Alligator mississippiensis: one gene and its partner. Each later gene encodes a partner of the first gene's protein in a complex. Links are inferred from orthologs where the notes say so. Each region holds a gene or a part of one and is shown in the gene's direction. Other genes may lie near its edges.

Region 1 (3,900 bases):
CCGCACACTTGTGCGCACATTCGCACACCTGGCACGCCTTCATTCACTTAGCTGCAAGGGCCTCACTGATACAGCTGCACCTCCCCACCCCCCCCAGCTCCTGCCTGCTTGCTCCGCCCTGGGGCAGGGCAGTCTGGGGCCTGCTCCCCCTCTCCCAGCACAAGGTGAGGGTGCCCCCACCTGGGCCAAGCTTACACCGACCCCGCCCACACAGGCCACAGAAAGGGGAAACTGAGGCACGGGGCGAGAGGCCTCTCGGTCCCACAGGACCCTGCGGCGGTGCCGCTCACAGAACCCGGGCGTCCGGGCTCTCGACATCACCCCTCTCGCGGCCGCGGGGGGACCCGGGTGCCCGGGCCCCCTTCCCCTGTGGTGGGCGGCGCTCGCGGTGGGTTGGGGAGCCGCGCCCCCAGCCCTGGGGCGGCCCCAGGCCCCGGGGGGCGGGAGGCACCTTTCCCCCACTGTGCCCCAGCAGACGCCAGGCGTGGACTTTGCCCGGAGCCGGGACATGACAGCTGTGTTTGCCGCCGGCGGGAGCAGCCGAGGGCCAAGGCCTGGAGACAACGCGGCGCTGGGGCGAGGGCTGCCAGGGAGGGGGCGTGCGCGGGAGTGCGTCCAGCAGACGTGTCTACACCCGAGTGCACGCGTGTGCCAGCCATGAAATCCCACCCTGCGTGGGGGGGTGCACACGTGTGCGTGATTGTGCGTGTGCCACGGGAGGGGCTCGTGTGTCACGGGGCGGGGGATGTGCAGGAGTCTACGTGTGCCACCGGAGGGGCTGGCGGCAGGAGAGGCACTGGGGTCAGGGGTCAAGGCTAGGGTGAGAACGCATCAAAGTGGGGGGAGGGTGTCCAAGCCAATCGCGGCAGGGGAAGACGGGGGTCAAAGGGCACCTCCGTGACCCCGCAGTTCCGCGGATGACGGATCCCAGCATGCAGCGCGGCGGGGCAAAGGAGCGAGCGGGAAGACTACATTTCCCAGGAGGCAGCGCGGCGCGCGCCTGCGCAGTGTGTGTGGGCCGGGCCGGAAGATGGCGGCGGGAGGCGGCGCTGGGCGCGAGGGCGCGTGAGGTGGAGGTGGGGGCAGGGGCAGGGGCAGGGGGCTGCGGCCTGGGGGGCGAGAGTGTGGAGTGGGGGGCTGGGCTGGGGTTGGGGGCATAGTGGGGGCAGGGGCAGCCCCGGGTTGGGGGAGGGGGGCCTTGGGGGGTCAGGCCTGGGCTCCACCGCGGGCGCGGGGTCTCGGGGCAAGGGCCAGGCACTAATTGGTTTGGTTCATTAGCAGCTTCAGCTGAGAGGCTCGCAGGGCCAGCCCCGCGCCATGGCCAGCACCAGCAGCTCTGGGGACGGTGCCACGGCCCGCATGAGCGTGGCCTCGCAGTTCTTCACGCAGGAGGAGGGCAGCGGCATCGACAGCACCACCACCTCGGAGCGGGTGCGCGGCCGCGGGCTCCGGCTCCGGCTCGGTGCCTCCCTGACGCCTGCGGCTGGGCCCCGCGGCCTGCTCTGCCGGGGGCCTGTGCCAGCCAGCCGGACTCCCGGCCTACGCACGGGCAGCTCCGGGTGCGCCGGGCCCGCTCCCGTGGGCTCCGATACGATCCCCGGCAGCGTGGGACTGCGGCAGCCCGTGTGGGCGACAGTCGGCCCCCCGACCTGGGGGACCTGGGCACGCGTGCAGTCTGCCCCCCTTCCTGCCCGGCCACAGGGGTGCAGGACACGTGGTGTCAGGGCCCGGTGTCTACGTGCCCGTGCACGGTGCTGCGTGGAGCCCTTGCTGTTCTGCTGCTGCCAGCACCCACGACGGGGGAGGCGCAGGGTCATTCCCCCAGGCGAGGGCGGGGTGGGTGTGCAAGCCCCCAGCTTTGAGGTGGCAGGAGGGCTTCTGGGTGCCCGGGACTCACCTGCCCCTGTCCCTGGCAGGTCGTGGATCTGCTGAACCAGGCCGCCCTCATTGGCAATGACTCCAAGATCAGCATCCTCAAGCAGGTGTGTGGAGAGCCGCCCCGGCCTGGGGGACAAGAGCCCGGGGTCTCAACCTGGGGGTGAGGGGGGTCTCGTATTCCTTCTCCTGAAGATGCCCCCCCCTTCCTTGGCTCTAGTCCTAGGCCTTCTCCCGGACTGGAAGGCCCCAGCCCATCATGGCAGACCCGTGTGCAGTGGGGGAGTGGGTGGCACTGGTGCCTGCCCCAGCTGGCTGTATAACGCCCCCCACTGTCCCTGTCCCCATCCCCCTCCCTACAGGTCCAGGAGCTCATCATCAACAAGGACCCCACATTGCTGGACAACTTCCTGGACGTGAGTCGCCAGGCACCCTGGGCAGGCCTGAGGAGCCTGGCGTGTCCATGCCCCATGGCCCCATCACCGCTGTGTGTTTGCGGGGGGTACCACGGGGGTCCAGCTATCGCCAGTCTGCCCTGCAACTGTCCCGGGGTTGTGGGGTGTCTGCCCAGCACAGAGCTGGCAGCTCGGCCCTTTGCCCCCTCTCCCCCACATGGTGCGGCCCTGCTGGGCAGCTCTGGGCACCCCCCCGCGTGCCACCAACAGCCCCCCCCTGCACCCTCCCCCCCGCGCAGGAGATCATCGCCTTCCAGGCTGACAAGTCCGTGGAGGTGCGCAAGTTCGTCGTGGGCTTCATCGAGGAGGCTTGGTAAGGGACGAGTGGCACTGGACTGGGGGACCCAGGCTGCGATTCCCCTGGGAATTCAGCCAGGAAGCTAGCAGTCTGGGCTTGGAGGTTGGCATGCTCGTTAGTGACGGCAGTGGAGGTGGAGGAGGGGAGGTGCTGCTAAGACCCCAGCTCTGCATGGGCAGTGAGGGCAGGGGGCTAGGGACATGTCTGGGGAGAGAGCAGGTGGCTTGGGAGCCTGGATTCCTGGCTCAGCCTCAGCCTTCAAGCACCACATGCCTCAGTTTCCATCCAAGTCCCAGGGGTCTAGGGGGAAGCTGCTGTGAGGCTGGTTAATCCTAGAGCACTGGGGGTGGATGGAACCCCCCTGAGGTCACATTTAGTCCAAGCCCTGGTCTGAGGCAGGATCAGCCCCGTCCAAGCCAGCCCAGACAAACCCAGCATCGGACCTCGGAGCAACACAGCCGTCAGCATGGACCTCACCCCCACCCCTGACCTCAGGAAAGCAGGAGGGGCTGTGGCTGCCAACATCCTGCTGCCTCCAGGGGGTCATGGATGCTACAGAGCCGAGGTCGAGGCTGTGCCCCTGCTTCAGGGGAAGGCAAAAACCCCCAGTGCGAACTGGTCTGAGCAGGAGGGTAATCTCTTCCTGCCCCAGTGCAGCGTGGGGCTGAGCCTGAGTGCAGGGGCAAGACTCTCCAGCCAGGACCCTGTGGGGATGGTGCCGGCAGGAACATTGGCACAGCCCAGTCCCCAGCCCTGCACCCAGCACCTCCGGGTGGGGGGGCTTAAAAACCCCGTGACACCTAGAGCAACAACAGGAAGGGGGTTAAGTGCCCTCCCAGCCCCTTGCAACAATCAGCAGAGCCCAGAAGCCTGGGACATCCCCAGAGCAGAGCATGGGCATCACTCTGCCTGGATCACCCCACACCAGCAGCTGCCCCCCCCACAAAGCCCTGCAGTGACTGAGTGTCCCTCCTGTCCTGGCGCCTGTCCCCTGCCTCCCTGCTCGGACACTGCCCAAGTTTTTCCTGAGGTCCAGGCTCACCCTGCTACCTGCAGGAGGGCAGTTGTAGGCACTGACGCCTCCCCCCCCACCCCCCCAACCTGCCACCCCTCAGCAAGCGTGACATTGAGCTGCTGCTGAAGCTCATCGCCAACCTGAACATGCTGCTGAAGGATGAGAACGTGAACGTGGTGAAGAAGGCCATCCTCACCATGACCCAGCTCTACAAGGTGGCACTGCAGGTATGGCCATTGTAGGGTGCTGCTGATTGG
Region 2 (3,900 bases), on another chromosome or scaffold:
AGGTCCTTCGAGATTATAAACTCCCGGATGGAAATACTGTCAGAATTGGTCTTCATCTTTGCAGAGCACCAGAAATCCTTTTCATGCCCATCACCCTTGGCATTGATACACCGGGGATTCACACCATGATTTCCAACAGCATTAAGAAGTGTGATCAGGATATTTGCCGCCATCTCTATGGGAATGTGGTGCTGACCGGGGGCTCGTCCCTTCTCCAGGGACTAGATGAGAGGGTCTTTAAAGAGATAGAGCAGCAAGCCCCTAAAGGAGTTCCTGTTAGGATTGTAGCAACTCCTCACAGGAGATGCTCTGCATGGATGGGTGCCTCCATTATCAGTTATCTGGCCTCCTTCGTGTCAATGTGGGTCACTGCCGGGGAATACGGGGAATTTGGACCCCCTGTGGTCCACAGAAAGTGCTTTTAAGAGGCCAGAAAAGAAGGGCCATTGAGAATTGTATTGAAGTGCTGAGGGCAGAAAGTCTAATTTCTCTGGGCGATGGTGATGGAATAAAAGAGAAGAAATGGGCAATACGTGCAGCCTGCGTGTGTGTCTTGCAAAGGCGCCTGATGACTTTGGGAGTCATCCATTACAATACAGGAGATCAAGTCACCTACTGCAATGACGGCTGCGGCCAAGGAGGGAATTAACTCCCCGCAGGTGACCTGTGCTTTGTGCAGTCGCCTGCACCTGCGCAGAGAGGTCTGATGCTCCTGGTTCAGGGGGGCCACTGTAAATCCCCCGCGAGATGCAGCACCAGGCCTCTGCTCCCGAAGGATGCCACTTCAATAGGGCAGCGTTTCTCAACCCGTGGGTCACGACCCAAAAGTGGGTCGCGAGAATATATGAAAGGGTCATGAACATTTTAAAAGAGAAAAAGGTGGGGAACCGCGGCTTTTCTCTTGCAGGCTGGCAGAGATCCTGCCTGGGAGGGGCTGCTTGGGGGCTCCCCCGATCCACACACCCACCCCTGCCCCACACACAAGGGGCAGCGGGCCAGAAGCCATGCTGGGTTATGACATGTCCATCTTAAGAGGCCCCATACGATAAAAATAATCCATGAAAATGGGTTTTAATGACATTTTAAGATGAATTATTATTATTTCTGCACAAATGGATGAACTTGATATGAATAATAATTGTAGAGCCATATATATATGTCTATTTTTGTCACAGAATGAAAATGTTCAGGTTTTTTTTCTTATTTAAGGTGTAAGCCTTAGCCAGTGCTGGTCACAAATGGGTCCTGGTACAGAGGAGGTTGAGATCTGCTGCTGAGGCAGCTATGTAGGGCCAGTGGTGCATGTGACACCCTCCCCCTTCCAGTTTGCAGAAGCTCAGATAGGGTCCCAAGGCCCTTAAAGGCCAGGCTGAAATGGAGCAAACGCCCTGTTGCCTCCCCTGGGATTCGACCCTGCGGTCCCCAGCTCTAGCCCCTTCCCCTGAGCCACGTGCGAAGCACAGGACCTCCCCACCCTCCGCCACTAGGGCGGCGCTCGCTCTCAGCGCCGAGGCGGACTCTCTTCGCTTCCTCCAATCTCTATGGCTGGAGGACTTACCCCCGGGCGGCGCTCTCTCCTGCGCTCCGCTCTCGACGGTCCTCGCCGGCGTCCGCTCTACGTCGCGCTCTCGCTGGTGCGGGGCGGGTGACGCCCGCCGAGGGGCCGCGGCCGCCATTTTGTGCGAGCACCAGGCGGAGCCGGACGGGCCCGAGCGCTGCGGGACGGAGCGGACGGAGCCGGGCCTCTCCCCGCGCCGCCATGCCCTCCTCGCCGCTCCGTGTCGCCGTGGTCTGCTCCAGCAACCAGAACCGCAGCATGGAGGCGCACAACATCCTCAGGTACCGCCGCCGCGCCCGGGCCTGGCCGGGCCTGCCCCCCCCGCACCCCGCGGGCTTCCCTGGGCCTCGGCATGGAGCCTGCCCGGGCCCCTAAAATATCCTAGACCCCCCCAAATCATAGGGTGGGAGGGAGCTCTAAAATGGCTTTAACCCCCCCCCCTCCCCAATTATAGGGTGGGCGAGGTGAGGCCTGGAGTCTGCCCAGGCATTTAAGGGGGTCCCTAAAACGGATTTAACCCCCCCCCCCAATCATTGGGGGGTGGAGCGAGTGCTGGAGCCTGCTCAGGCACTTAAGGGGACTCTAAAATGGTGTAGCCCCCCTCCCCAAATTGCAGGGTGGGGGGCCCTAAGATGGTGTTAATTCCTCCAAATGGTAGGGTGGGCAGGATGAGCCCTGGAGCCTGCCCAGGCATTTAAGGGGTGCCTTAAAACAACATTAACCCCCCCAAAATTATAGGGTGGGTGGGATGAGCCCTGGAGCCTGCTCAGACACTTAAGGGGACCCCCTAAGATGGCCTTGACCCCCCCCCAAACCATAGGGCAGGTGGGGGGAGTGCTGGAGCCTGCTCAGGCACTTAAGGGAGCCTCTAAAATGGCCTGATTTCCCCCCCCCCTCCCCCCTTCCTTTCAAATCCTAGGGTGGGTGGGATGAGGCCTGGAGTCTGCCCAGGTGTTTGTAAGGGGTTTTTTTTTTACCCCCCCTCCCCTTTGCAGGGGGCAGCTGGCAGGGCCTCCTCTGCACCCGGCCGGCTCAGGCCCGGACGTGTTTTCCACTCTGAACCCGGTGGAAAGAAGGGGGAAAAAGTGAACAGCCAGAAAGTGTGTTGCTGAGTGTCCCCCGGGGCAGGGCAGGTCTGGGCTCGGCGCTCACCGTGGGAGAAGGGGGATCTTGGTGTTGGAAAGGAGAAGCCGGGGGGGTACGCTGGGTGCGGGCAGCCATCTTGGTGCAGGGCAGCTGGCGACGCTGGTGCAGGCTGAACTCAGACAATAGTAGCATGAGAAACACCTCTGCTGCTGCTGCTTGGGCATCAAGGCCACGTCCTCTTGACTAAAAGCAAATAGCCTGTTTTGTTAAACTGGCTGGCTTTTAACACCTGGCTGTGGGCTTGCTCCTACTTCTCTGAGCTCTTCCAGCGTAGCAGGCAGGGTCGATTGGCACGTCATAGACAAACGGAAGTAGACAGCACCAGCTTTCTTCAACTGGGATGGCAGAGTAAACATGAAGTTACTGTCAGCTGACCAGTGCTTTGCAGTTTCTGTGTAGTCAGTTGCACAAAGAAATGTGCTAAAACATGAATCTTTTAAAAGAAGAAGGAAAAGGGAGAATATTCCTTCCGCTCTTAGATTTTTGAAAATAAGCTTATGGGAAAAAAAACTAGTGCACACAGTTAACTCCTTAAAATCGGTATTAAGCGGTTACAGTCCAAATAAATCTCTTTAAAAAAAAAAAAAAAAATGGGGTGGGGGGAGTTCCTTGTCTTCTCAGCTCAGATAAATTAGATCAGTCACTTTTTTTTTTTTTTTTTTTTTACTTTCAACTTATGACATTCTGCTTGTTACTGGCTTACATAGTGGATAACAGTTATTTTCCAAGACTTCAGTTTGTGGTTGTAAAATAACAACTCGGGGGAAATCATATTAGGTCATCCAAGCCATCTTGCCAATTTAGCCTTACGCCATATGTAACTCATCTTTCTAAAGTACAGTGCTGTTAAAATATTGCAGCAAACCATGCATGGAGATATTTAATGTAAACAGAGCTGTTACAGAAGTTTAAATTACCATGCTAAGGTGGAAAGGTGACTTTTATAAAACCACAGGACAGTGGCCCTCTAAAAAAATCAGCATTGTGTTAAAATCCATTCTAAAAATGTAACTTTGAACAGCTTTTTAAAATGTAATGCTTGCAGGTGTGGGGGAGTGGAAGGGTGGGGTGTGTGTCTAAAACTGTTGCATCCCATAGTTTATTTAAAAATTACTTTGTTTTGGAAACATAATAAACTCCATCTTTGCCAAGGGGCTTTGCTATAGTACTGGAGATATTTCTTCTACACATTCAAA

What was found.
Region 2: the proteins of SYMPK (region 1) and SSU72 are in contact, whole or in part, in a crystal structure (PDB 4H3K), measured with the Homo sapiens proteins. The link is inferred for Alligator mississippiensis from reciprocal best matches to the Homo sapiens genes SYMPK and SSU72. Residues at the interface, in NP_004810.2 of Homo sapiens: Val123, Lys127, Leu131, Gln135, Asp175, Asn176, Asp177, Gly178, Thr181, His182, Lys185, Glu188, Pro204, Arg205, Arg206, Gln207, Ser250, Ile251, Thr254, Thr255, Asn262, Ala290, Ser292, Gln293, Ser295, Ser296, Lys299, Asn300, Leu303, His304; in NP_054907.1 of Homo sapiens: Glu113, Tyr116, Asp117, Val120, Asn124, Glu127, Gln128, Glu129, Thr130, Cys131, Gln132, Pro133, His135, Asp167, Glu169, Asn170, Asp173, Gln177, Glu180, Thr186, Phe187, Leu188, His189, Thr190, Val191, Phe193.

Annotation. Positions count from the first base shown.
Region 1 is NC_081838.1:442,719-446,618, reverse strand, and holds the start of SYMPK (symplekin), read left to right. Parts: upstream 1-902; 5' UTR 903-917; coding exon 918-1,076; intron 1,077-1,278; coding exon 1,279-1,431; intron 1,432-1,916; coding exon 1,917-1,982; intron 1,983-2,237; coding exon 2,238-2,291; intron 2,292-2,569; coding exon 2,570-2,643; intron 2,644-3,743; coding exon 3,744-3,870; intron 3,871-3,900. UniProt on the Homo sapiens protein: Scaffold protein that functions as a component of a multimolecular complex involved in histone mRNA 3'-end processing. Specific component of the tight junction (TJ) plaque, but might not be an exclusively junctional component. May have a house-keeping rule.
Region 2 is NC_081836.1:7,424,259-7,428,158, forward strand, and holds the start of SSU72 (RNA polymerase II subunit A C-terminal domain phosphatase SSU72), read left to right. Parts: upstream 1-1,648; 5' UTR 1,649-1,759; coding exon 1,760-1,839; intron 1,840-3,900. Other genes in the region: actin-related protein T2, read left to right, coding at 1-425. UniProt on the Homo sapiens protein: Protein phosphatase that catalyzes the dephosphorylation of the C-terminal domain of RNA polymerase II. Plays a role in RNA processing and termination. Plays a role in pre-mRNA polyadenylation via its interaction with SYMPK.